Linked DNA regions of Caenorhabditis elegans. The protein of the gene in region 1 interacts with the protein of each later gene in a pairwise test. Each region holds a gene or a part of one and is shown in the gene's direction. Other genes may lie near its edges. The genes, in order: math-34 and alh-8.

The links.
Region 2: the proteins of math-34 (region 1) and alh-8 interact in a two-hybrid assay, tested with the Caenorhabditis elegans proteins (one large-scale study listed by BioGRID).

What each region holds. Positions count from the first base shown.
Region 1 is NC_003280.10:1,026,706-1,034,177, forward strand, and holds math-34 (MATH domain-containing protein), read left to right. Parts: upstream 1-2,266; 5' UTR 2,267-2,281; coding exon 2,282-2,382; intron 2,383-2,506; coding exon 2,507-2,896; intron 2,897-3,851; coding exon 3,852-4,000; intron 4,001-4,043; coding exon 4,044-4,213; intron 4,214-4,310; coding exon 4,311-4,418; intron 4,419-4,474; coding exon 4,475-4,762; intron 4,763-6,462; coding exon 6,463-6,520; intron 6,521-6,564; coding exon 6,565-6,716; intron 6,717-6,763; coding exon 6,764-6,892; 3' UTR 6,893-6,960; downstream 6,961-7,472. Other genes in the region: M01D1.12 (F-box associated domain-containing protein), read left to right, coding at 265-1,020.
Region 2 is NC_003280.10:11,727,278-11,731,725, forward strand, and holds alh-8 (putative methylmalonate-semialdehyde/malonate-semialdehyde dehydrogenase [acylating], mitochondrial), read left to right. Parts: upstream 1-1,777; 5' UTR 1,778-1,801; coding exon 1,802-1,828; intron 1,829-1,988; coding exon 1,989-2,045; intron 2,046-2,099; coding exon 2,100-2,272; intron 2,273-2,319; coding exon of another isoform or gene 2,320-2,329; coding exon 2,330-2,837; intron 2,838-2,895; coding exon 2,896-3,345; intron 3,346-3,399; coding exon 3,400-3,756; 3' UTR 3,757-3,921; downstream 3,922-4,448. Other genes in the region: F13D12.5 (uncharacterized protein), read left to right, coding at 1-172, 225-612, 660-759, 807-1,049; F13D12.8 (Col_cuticle_N domain-containing protein), read right to left, coding at 3,949-4,142, 4,400-4,448. UniProt on the Caenorhabditis elegans protein: Probable malonate and methylmalonate semialdehyde dehydrogenase involved in the catabolism of valine, thymine, and compounds catabolized by way of beta-alanine, including uracil and cytidine.

The sequences.
Region 1 (7,472 bases):
AATTAAAACTTTTTTCACTTCCAGGCTCGCCCTCTCCTTATGCTCCGAGGCCACCAAAGAAATCGTAAAATCGCTCCACCTGAAAGTCGACTCGAGTGGGCTCAATTTCGCAAAAGGCTTCAATTTCAAAATGAAATTTGGAAACAAACGAGTGTGGCTGAAGTTCTACAATAGATGCCGATGCTTTGTGCCAAGTTTTGACATTCCTCAGTTTGTAAAAATATCAATGCACGGTCACCATGTGAATGTGTTCACCCGGAAACCATGAGATCTTGGCTCGAATTCTTGATGGATGTGCTGGCGATTCAGAGGATCGATTTTAGTCTCACAACTCCCTTGGACTCCAGGAATTTAGACATTGAAGGTCTAACAAGGGTTCTGGAGGGGATTGACATAAGGCTTTTAGCTGTTGATTTCTCATCGGCAACCCCAAGATTCGATGAATTGGCTTCGAAGCTCTTCTGGGCCAACTTACCATCTGCGAATCAAGTTCTAATTCGAAACTGTCTGTACAGAGACTCACAGGATTATCAGAAAGTTTTCATTCAGAACCTCGACAGACTAGTTCTTAAGCCAACTCTTCTATTCACCCTGGAAGACCTTCTCTCATGCGGCAGCTCTTGTATAAAAATCCCGAACACTTCACCGTTCACCGATAAGGATTTCAACCTGTTCATGAAGCATTGGATACGAGGATCCAACCCGAACCTTGAGTATCTCACAATCAATGCAACAACTGATTTGAGAGAACATTTCATGACTTACTGGTATTTATTGAAAGGGATTAATTTTCACGATGGACCGGGTCCGGGTGCTCTTCGTGGCACCTATCGGATCAATGGCCATAGTGGAAGTTATCACTGGAAACATGAGAAAATTGTGGAGTTGAAGGGTGGCGTAGATGTTGAAAACGCGGATGGAACGATAGCTACGATCGTTTTGTGGTATGATGAGGTGGAAGTGCAACATTTAACTTTTGAGATGAGAGTTTGGCGGTATGATGAATTAGTTCAAAGTTGATAATTGTATTGATTAATTTTTTGATTTTATTTGGAAGATGTTATCAATTTTCAAATAAATTATTGTCGGTTATTTTTTTTGTCGAATTTTAATAAGATTCTCAGAATTTTCCGCAGACTTTTTTTTCAGAAAGTTATAATCTCAAACCAGAAATGTTTATTAAAATAAAATTTAATTCCCCGCCAAAATGGTTTTTCATACATTTTGAATTCCCGCCAAAAAAATTTTCCTCAAAAAAGTTGAATTTCTGCAAAAATTGTTTCTCAAAAAATTAATTCCCCGCCACTATTTGTTGTTTCAAAAAAGCTAAATTTCCCCTTGATGTTCTTTTCACGAAAATTTCAATTTTCCACTATAATTTTTTTGAATAAATATTTGGTTTCCCGCCAAAAGATTTTCTTAGAAAAATTCCTCAGAAAACTTGAATTTCCTGCCAAAATCATTTTTTTAAAAAATTGAAGCTTACGCCAGAATTTTGTCTCAGTGTTAGAAAATTTGAATTTTCAGCCCAAAAAAAAAAAAATATATATATATATATTAGTTTTTTGCCAAAAACGTTTCTTATTAAAACTTAAATTTCGCGACAAAATTTATTCTCAAAAAAAAAAAAGAATTTCGGGTTAAAACTATTAAAGCTTTTTCGTAAAAAATAATTTCATATCAAAAATTTCTCTCAAAAATTTGAATTTCCCGCTAGAATTCTTTTTCAGTTAAATTTAATTTTCTATCAGAATGCTTTCTCAGAAAATTTTGAATTTTCTGCCAAAATTTTTTCTCACAACTTTGAAATTTGAAAAGTCTTGCCAAAAATTTTTTCTCTAATATTTTTATTACAAGAAAAAACCACACCGCCACAATTTTTTTTTTAAATTTCGATTTTCCGCCATAATTTTTCTTCAGTAAAAGTTGAATTTCCGGTTAAACTTTTTTTCCTGAAAAAAAAATTTCCCGCTAAAAATATTACTCCAGAAATTTAATTTCCCGTCAAATTTCTGATAACTTCAAAAAATTCCCATCACCTTGTTGACTGATAGTTCCGTGAAATGATCACTGAAACTGATAAGCACATTTTACCGCCGTTTCTCCTGTCATTTCGTTTTTGTTGGAACTCCTATCTATTAAATATTTTATGTTTCCTTGTGACTTCTTGCTATTGTTAAGTTATTTTTTAAGATGAAATTTTGGCGATTTTTTTATTCTTTTTTTGAATTTGGGTTCATTGCTAATCCAGTTCTCATCATTTTTCAGAGCTCCCGTAAAAATGGCAGATTTCCTTCTGCAACATGAATTTGAATATGTTGACGGCTTAGAAGATAACGCTTCCTTGACAGGCAACTCCGAGAGCTTTGGAGACTTTAAATGGTATTATTATATTTTTTTCAAACTTTACCAAATATCAAAAATCAAAAAAAAAATTATTTTTTTATCTGTAATTATGGCTTACCCAGTATTAAAGTTCAAATTTCAAGTCATATTAATATTCCAGGACACTTGGCATCACCCGTTCCGAGGACTCTTTGTGGCTTTCCTTGGAGTGCTCCAGCAAGAAAAACGTGGAGCAAGTGAAAACAAATCTAAAACTCATTTTAATATCTCTCAACGGAAATCGCTGGGCAAAACAATTCGATGGCTCCTGCTTCAAGTTTGACAAGTCAGAAGTTGACAGAAAAATCGAGCGAATTGTTGGATGGGAGTCCATCGAGAATGATTTCCTGGTGGATGGGAAGATCAAGGTGCAGGCTCATCTGGGGGGTCTGGAAGTTGAAGAGTCCGGAGTTGGCGAGTTTGAGATGGAGAATGTTTTTAAGAATATAGAGTTCATGAGGCCAGGGGACGAAATGTACAGCGAGAAGGGGTCACATTTGAACTACTGGTGGTGAGTCAAGCCCCTATCGCTTCGAGACCCATATTTTCAGAATTTTATCTTTTAGGCCCATTTTCTAAAAGTACTCTAGCTTTAGGACATTTGAGACTAAAGCCTTTAATTCTATCACATTAGACCAGGGATGAGCGGCAAACGATTTTTTCCTGCAAATCGGCAAACTGGCAAATTGCCGGAATTGAGAATTTCCGGCAAATCGGCAAACCGGCATTTGCCAAAAATGAAAGTTTCCGGCAAATCGGCAATCCGGCAAATTGCGAGAATTGAAAATTTCCAGCAATTCGACAAATCGGTAAATTGTTGGAATTGAAAAATTCCGGCAAATCGGCAAATCGGTAAATTGTTGGAATTGAAAAATTCCGGCAAATCGGCAAACCGGCAAATCGGCCAGCCGGCAAATTGTCGGAATTGAAAATTTCCGACAAATCGGCAAACTGGCAAATTGTCGGAATTGAAAATTTCCGGCAAATCGGCAAATTGGCAAATTGCCGGAATTGAAAATTTCCAGCAAATCGACAAACCGGGAAATTTCGAGAATTGAAAATTTCTGGCAAATCGGCAAATCGGCAAATTTGCCGAATATGTTTTAATCGGCCAAATTGTGCGCATCCTATAAATGTTCCTACATCTATTTTGAAAAAAAAACAAATTCTATGAAAATGTGTAAAAAAAATCGGAAAAATTCAAATAGACACAGTTTTAGGTGTTTCCGTCTTTTAAAAATCCCTCTAAACATATCCGGCAAATCTGATATCCGGCAAACGGCAAACCGGCAATTTGCCGAAAATGAAAATTTCCGGCAAATCAGCAAACCGGCAATTTGCCGAAAATGAAAATTTCCGGCAAATCAGCAAACCGGCAATTTGCCGATTTGCCGTTTTTTTCGACAAATCAATTTGCTTCCTTTAAGACTGTTACACGATTTCCAGTAATCTAAACTGTACTTCAGGAGGATCCATTTAATGCGCAGGGATGATTATATTGGCGTCGGCATAACCTGGAGACAAAAGTTCGGTCAAGATTTCCGCAAACTTCGAGCAGAAATTGATCTGGTTATATCATCGGAAAATGGAAATCGATTCGCCAAAAAGTTGAAAGGTGGGTCATTCATAATAAGGATTCCATGATAGAAATTTTTCAGATGCCGTGTTCGAGTCAAAAATCTACGGACAGTACTGCATTCAGGGGAAAGAGATCTTTGACTGGGAGTCTGTTGGTGATTTTCTTGTCGATGGAGCATTGAAGGTTGAAGCTCGTGTTAATGTTATCGATTCCGTCCTCATTCCAAAGCAGCAGACGTTGAAGGGCGATGTAAGTCATAGTCATGCGGCCGACATTTTCCGGGTAACCCGGGAGGAGTCGGGCGCTGAAATAGAAAAGGTGAACAATCTCCCATACTTTGATTCAGAAGTTAGAAGAAATTGAAGATTTCGAATCAAAACTGAAAGTGCTCGATAACCTGATAAATGAGAACTCAGGAGCAGGAACACTAGATGCTTCTGGAATCAATGATGATGTAAGTTATGCTGCGACCGACATTTTCCGGGTCTCCGTAATTTTTTTCCATTTCAGAAACCAGAAGAACTTGAGGATTTCGAGTCAAAATTAAGAATCCCCGACAACTTGATAAATGAGAATTCGAAAGCAGGATCAATAATTGATATTGGAGTTAGAAGCAAATTTGGTAGATCTACCACAGTTCAAAAACGAATTAAAGACTTGGATACAAGGAATAAAGATCTGAGTTCTGACATTGGAACGCTTGGTGATGTTGTGAAGCAGCTGACACTGATGAATGAGAAGATGGAGAAGGAGGCTGATCAACGCGCGGAGGTTAACATGGAACGTGAATTGAAATCGGTGAGCTTTTGGTCTGGGTAAGCTCTCAGGAGGAGCCAGCCTTAGTCAGTGACAGGTCGAAAAGCTCAGAAAAATGTCAATAAATGTCGAGAAATGTATGTATAAAAATGTCGAAAAATGTCGAAAAATGTCGAAAAAATGTAGGGGAAAGTGTCAAAAAAAAAGTAGGGGAAACTGTCGACGAATATAGAAAAAATGTCGAAAAATACCGAAAAATGTATCAGGTTGTCCCATAAGTTTTTGTACTATTTTTTTTTTGAAAAAAATTTATTTCTCTCAAGCGACAAGTAGTACTATTCACACAAGTATTCACCATTAGTGTCCACCACTTGTTGCCATTTACTAGGTAACATCATGATGCCACGGGAGAAGAAATCCGGCGAACGCGATGAGAAGAAAGTGGAGAGTTCAGTTTTGAGATGCTCTTCGTCGTCGAATTGCTTGTCGCGCATGTAGTCACTGAGAGACAAGAACAAATGGTAGTCGGTTGGTGCAAGATCTGGAGAATATGGTGGATGCGGTAAAACAGTCCAACCAAGATCTTGCAGCTTTTGGAAAGTCTTCTTGGCGACATGAGGCCTAGCATTATCGTGAAGAAAATATAGTTTTTCATATTTTCCGTTGGTCTTTTCTGCAACTCGGTCCAATTGGGCACAATAGTAATCAGCAGTGATAGTTTTATTAGTTGGCAACAATTCCCAGTGCACGGGTCCTTGAACACCCCACCAGACACAGATCATAATCTTTTTTGGGTGAAGATCAGGCTTTGGCGTCGGTATTCCTTTCTCACCGATCGGAAGCCATTGACGTTTTCTGGAATGGTTAACATAGAGCACCCACTTCTCATCTCCAGTAACCAGATTGTTCAGCCAATCGAACTTTCGACGAAAAGTTAGAAGTTGAGTACAAACGTTGACCCGAGTGAGCTTCTGTGATGCCGAAAGTTCATGAGGCACCCAAATTCCAAGTTTTGAAGTAAAACCAAGGCGACCCAAGTGACGTGCAATTGTGCTATGACAACACTCACGCTTCTCTTCCATTTCACGAAGACTAAGACGAGGCTCTTCCTCCACCAGCTTCACTAGGTCTTCTTCATTTAACTCTACCGGTCGCCCAGAACGTTCTATTTCTTCGAGACTGAAGTCGCCGTTCTTGAACTTTTGAAACCAACTCTTTGCTGTATTATAAGAGAGTGCTCCCTCACCCATCGCACCGCATATGTTTCGTTCCGCTTCCATTGCTGAATGACCAAGACGAAATTCATAAAGAAGAAGCAATCTAACGTCTCGACGTTCAAGTTTGATGATTGTCATCGTGGCAAAGTAGAAATGGATGAAATGAATCTTTTCTGAAAGGGGACGACCCGACCTTGACACGACCTACGATGAAAAAATTTTAAAACTTTCTAGAAGTTTTGGAAAAATATTTGAAAAAAAGTACAAAAACTTATGGGACAACCTGATAGAAAAATGTCGAAAAATGTAGAAAAAGGTAGAAAATTGTAGAAAAATGTAGAAAAATGTCGATAAATGCGAAAAAATTCAGAAAAATGTCGGAAATTGTAGAAAAATGTAGAAAAATGTCAAAAAATGTAGGGGAAATGTCGATAAATGCCAAAAAATGTGCCAAAAATGTCAAAAATGTAAAATTACATTTTTGAATTTTTCGATATCACAGGAATAACCCCATTAATTTTTCAGGCTCTAAAATCGAAACAACAGCTGAAAAATGACACTTTGAAAAGCCCTGCGATCACTGGTAAGCTCCTGATCACCCTATTACTTGCACAGTACATTCTACAGACGAAAATGTGAACACCAAGTTGAGATCTGCCACCGAACAAGAAGACCTGATAACTATTTACCAGTGCGAGGAGTTTTTGACGTCGAAATCCAAAAAATCTACAAGTGAGATGCTCCGAATCGCAATGGAGTTCAATTTGGATAATTTGAAGGTAGCGAGAACTTCATTTTGAAGGAAAAAAAAATCAAAAAAATTCAGAATCACTGCTTATCAAATATGACGACATCTGAACAAATCGCAGAGATTGTCAGCGACTTGAAGCTCGGCGGATTGGACAGGCCGTTGCTGGAGGCCTTGATAACTAGAGCCTTGGAGTTGAAGTCATAATTTATTGATTTATTTGAGAAAATTCTCTTGTGATTTATCATTACTTATATATAAAAAAATACATGGGGGATGTTACAATTGTAGTTTGTAGTCGGTGACGTCACACTTGAAAGGTGTTTCGGGCTGTGGAAGGGATCATGGGTTGGGGTTGGTGGGGGGACATGGTCGGGGTACTGTAGTAGTACTGTAGGGGTACTGTAGGGTTACTGTAGGATTACTGTAGTTTGGGAAAAATGGACTTTTTGTCTTTTGAAGTGATATTGCTTTGGGGTTAGTGGCGGGATATGGTCAGGGTACTGTAGTAGTACTGTAGGGGTACTGTAGGGTTACTGTAGGATTACTGTAGTTTGGGAAAAATGGACTTTTTGTCTTTTGAAGTGATATTGCTTTGGGGTTAGTGGCGGGATATGGTCAGGGTACTGTAGTAGTACTGTAGAGGTACTGTAGGAGTACTGTAGGAGTACTGTTGGATTACTGTAGTTTGGGAAAAATGGACTTTTTGTCTTTTGAAGTGATATTGCTTTGGGGTTAGTGGCGGGATATGGTCAGGGTACTGTGGTAGTACTGTAGAGGTACTGTA
Region 2 (4,448 bases), about 11 Mb from region 1:
GAGAACATTGGGTCAAGAGAGTCGATCTACCGCGAAGACGGGGCTCGAGGAAAGGCGAAGAGAAATCTGGCCCGTTCAATGTTCGACACGACTCGACACATGCTTTACCTGGACTTTTCAGCTCCTCCATTCTACGATATCGAGCAAATTTACTTGCATGGCATTTTCAGCGGTAATCACTTGCTTAATAAGCCTGCCTTTTAATCATAATTTTTTATTTTCAGATCGATTCGACAAGCTGCACATCGCAAAGTACACTGGCCACGCTGTGAATGGACTGTTCGATTGGGTCGAGGATCCATACACCGATGCAGTTTACTACAAGGAGCGAATTAATGGCCACGTGGAGATGTTCCAAGCAAAAATCAAAGATGTCGTGCCGATTATCACCGGAAAAATGGCTGGACGACGAATCGAAAATTCCTTGTTGAGCGGCGAACTCCAAGGTGTCTCGAACGGAGTATTCTACGAGACGAGTGTGAGAGATGTCAACGAAACGCATCAGACCCTGTCCTCAACGCTGACAACACTCGATTCGGAATGGAGTATCACTTGTAACGCGGAGACGATTTACAGTGTTGTTCCGAAGACCAACAAGCTCCTCATCATCAGGTTTTGAAGAAATCATCGATCTTCGAATTTAATATTCATAATTTCAGGGCCAACGATTATTGCATGTTGAGAGATGGAAAGAATTACAACAAGGAGAGCTGTGAAAACGAGCAGGCAGACTACCTGGCTCGCAATAATCCGTCTGAGGTGAGCTGGTTGTGTTGAAGAAATTTATAAATTAAATATATTTCCAGACCGACAGCAATGTGAACGCGATGATGTGGCTGATCGTGTTCTGCGTCGTCTTAATCCTTCTCGTGATTCTCCAGTGCGTCTACATCTTTTGGCTCCGATCGTCCTTTGTCTCGGCTGACGAGGCCTCTCATCATCAGGATCAGGAGACTGAAGCCTCCATCTTCATCGCGAAACAGCGCAGCTTCCCAGCGAGTTTCCATGAGCCAGGACTTTTGGATGTCTCCGTCGACAAGTGGAATTAAATCATTTTTATTTGAATTTATAGCATTCTCGTTCTTTTTCAATCTTTTCTAGCCTTCTATCCTTCTAGACACTAGACACTGTCATATTCTCATCTCATAATTTTTAATTTTTTACTTTTTTTTTTGTCACATTTCCTAGCACTTTCTGTTTCTTTTTTTTATATAAAATTAAATATTCCGCATTTTTATTTGTTTTAATTAATGATCTTTATCTTAACGTTGTTTATTCACCAACACTATTTTATTTTTGTATTCGAGTTTTCGAGACGCATCGATCACGTTTCTCCAAGTGCACACGGGTCAAATGGTGGGCAGTTGCAGGTCTCTCCACGTGCTGTGGCCGTCTCTTAGTCTCTTGCACTATCACTTTTCCCACTCTCTGACTCTTTTTTATTTCTTTTTCTTCTTTTTTTGCTGAGAGAGAGAGAAAAGCAACTGTTCTTCTTCTTCTGTCCTATTTGCCACTCCTCCCGTCGTCTTATCAACAGCATTGAAACTTCAAAAACTCGCAGATAGAGCTTTTAACCTTTTAATTTTCAATGTTCGCGTGTATTTTGTGGCTTATTTTATTTATTTCTTAGTTCAAAATTCGAAACGTGATCAGTAATGTTTAGTTTTCATTCATTTCGCATTATCCGAATCGTCAGAACCACCACGCGACCGCCCATCTCTTGTGATTTTCAATTTTTCTTCTCGTGCGTTTTCAGTCATTATCTTCTAATTTTCAGCTCTAAAACTTGCGGTACCCCAGAATGTTGTCTCGTCTTGCTCGTGTTCAGGTAGGAGTTTCTTTTTATAATATTTTTTAACAAAAAATCGTGTACTTCACACATCACTTGCAGTCTGTGCGACAGTTGTCGTATGGGGTGACACATTGAAAAAGAAAACGAAAATCAAACAATCAAAACTTCAAAACTTCAAATAATATTCTAATTTCAGCCAAAATGCCAACAGCTCGCCCACTTCAGCACATCGAAGTCTGCTGCCGCCGCACCAGTGAGTTTCAGGCTTGATCTTAAGTTTCCAAATCCAAATTCCATAATTTTTCAGACTGTCAAGCTGTGGATCGATGGACAAGCTGTTGAATCGAAGACCACCGACTTCGTGGAGCTCACCAATCCAGCCACCAACGAGGTCATCGCTATGGTGCCAAACGCCACCCAAGCTGAGATGCAAGCCGCTGTTGACTCGGCCAAGAATGCCTTCAACACCTGGAAGAACACGTGAGTCTTGAATCCCGTGTGATCTTTTTTTTTTATTTCAATAATAGAAGTTTCCAGATCCCCACTGACCCGTCAACAATGCATGTTCAAACTTCAAGCCTTGATCAAGAGAGACATGAAGAAGCTCGCTGAGAGCATCACCATTGAGCAAGGAAAGACCCTTCCAGATGCCGAGGGAGACGTCAGCAGAGGTCTTCAGGTCGTCGAGCACGCTTGCTCCGTTCCATCCCTGATGATGGGAGAGACCCTTCCAAATGTCTCTCGCGACATGGACACCCACTCCTACAGAATCCCACTTGGAGTCACCGCCGGAATCTGTCCATTCAACTTCCCGGCTATGATCCCATTGTGGATGTTCCCAGTCGCCTTGGCCACCGGAAACACTATGGTCATCAAGCCATCCGAGCAGGATCCAGGAGCAGCTCAGCTTCTTGTCGAACTTGCCAAGGAGGCCGGAGTTCCAGATGGATGTGTCAATATTATTCACGGACAGCACTCTGCTGTTAACTTTATCTGCGATAACCCAGATATCAAGGCTATCTCATTTGTTGGAGGAGATGCTGCTGTAAGTTTTTTTGAATTTGTTTTTTATGAACATTAATCAATTTTCATGATTTTTTCAGGGAAAACACATCTACGAGCGTGGAGCCAAGAACGGAAAGCGCGTCCAATCCAACATGGGAGCCAAGAACCACGGAGTCATCATGGCTGATGCCAACAAAGAACAGACCCTCAATCAGCTCACCGCTGCCGCCTTCGGAGCCGCCGGACAACGCTGCATGGCTCTCACCACCGCTGTGCTCGTCGGAGAAGCTCGCGCCTGGCTCCCAGAACTCGTCGAGAAGGCCAAGAACTTGAAGGTCAACGCTGGATGGAAGCCGGATACCGACATCGGACCACTGATCTCCAAGCAATCCAAGGCCCGTGTCCTCCGTCTTATCGAGAGTGCCAAGAAGGAGGGAGCTCAGGTTCCACTTGATGGATCCAATATCACTGTTCCAGGATTTGAGAATGGAAACTTCGTGGGACCAACGATTCTCGCTGGAGTCAAGCCAAATATGACTTGCTACAGAGTAAGATTTTGTTTTTTTTTAAATTTGTTTAATTTAATATTTAATTTTTTGTAGGAAGAAATCTTCGGCCCAGTCCTTGTCGTCATGGAGGCCGAGAACTTGAACGAGGCCATCGAAATCATCAACAACAACCCATACGGAAACGGAACGGCCATCTTCACCAGCAACGGAGCCACCGCCAGAAAGTTCACCAACGAAGTCGATGTCGGACAAATCGGAATCAACGTGCCAATCCCAGTTCCACTCCCAATGTTCTCGTTCACCGGCTCGCGTGGTTCATTCCTCGGAGATCTCAACTTCTACGGAAAGGCCGGAATCCAGTTCTACACTCAATGGAAGACTGTCACTCAATACTGGAACGAGTCGCTCACCGAGCTGAAGCCACAAATGTCGTTCCCACAGCTCAAGTAAATTGAAATTCTGTGAATTCTGAATTCTCTCATCCATCCCCACACACAATCACTTCTTGGTTCTTTTATTCTTGTTCAATAACGTTTATTGCCATGGTTTTTTGCAACCTCTCATTTCTTGTTTGTTCATATATAATACACATTTTATCATAAAAGTGACGATTAGACCCGTAAATGGAATGGGGGAAAATAATCACAGTTCAGAGAGAATCGTATTCGAATGATTGAAATCATAATCAAAACGTGGATAGTAACTATTCGGATCGGCAATCTGTTTATCATTCCGTTTGGAACGAGCCGCCGTGGGTTCGTCGATTTCCAAATCCGATTCCTCATCCTCCTCACTATTTGAAGTTGGATCTAGCGTGACGGCGATTATGATTATACCTGGAAAATATAAAATATTATTGGGACGTAGAAAAAATGCCCAATCAACGTGAAAACGCCCTCCACGGCAAATTGAAAACGCTCCGCCTCCTAACCGTGGGTCTCATTAGGTATTCTACCAAAATTCAGCATTTTCAATTAGCTTCAAGTGGTAACTTTCAAGTTACCAGTTTTTCCTAACGAGACCCAACTATTTGAGGCGGAGCGGTTCCAATTGGCCGTGGAGCGCATTTTCTGCGTCTTCATAATAATCTAACCTGTGATAAGAAGAGCAACACTGATAAGTGATACGATAAGCACCAATGC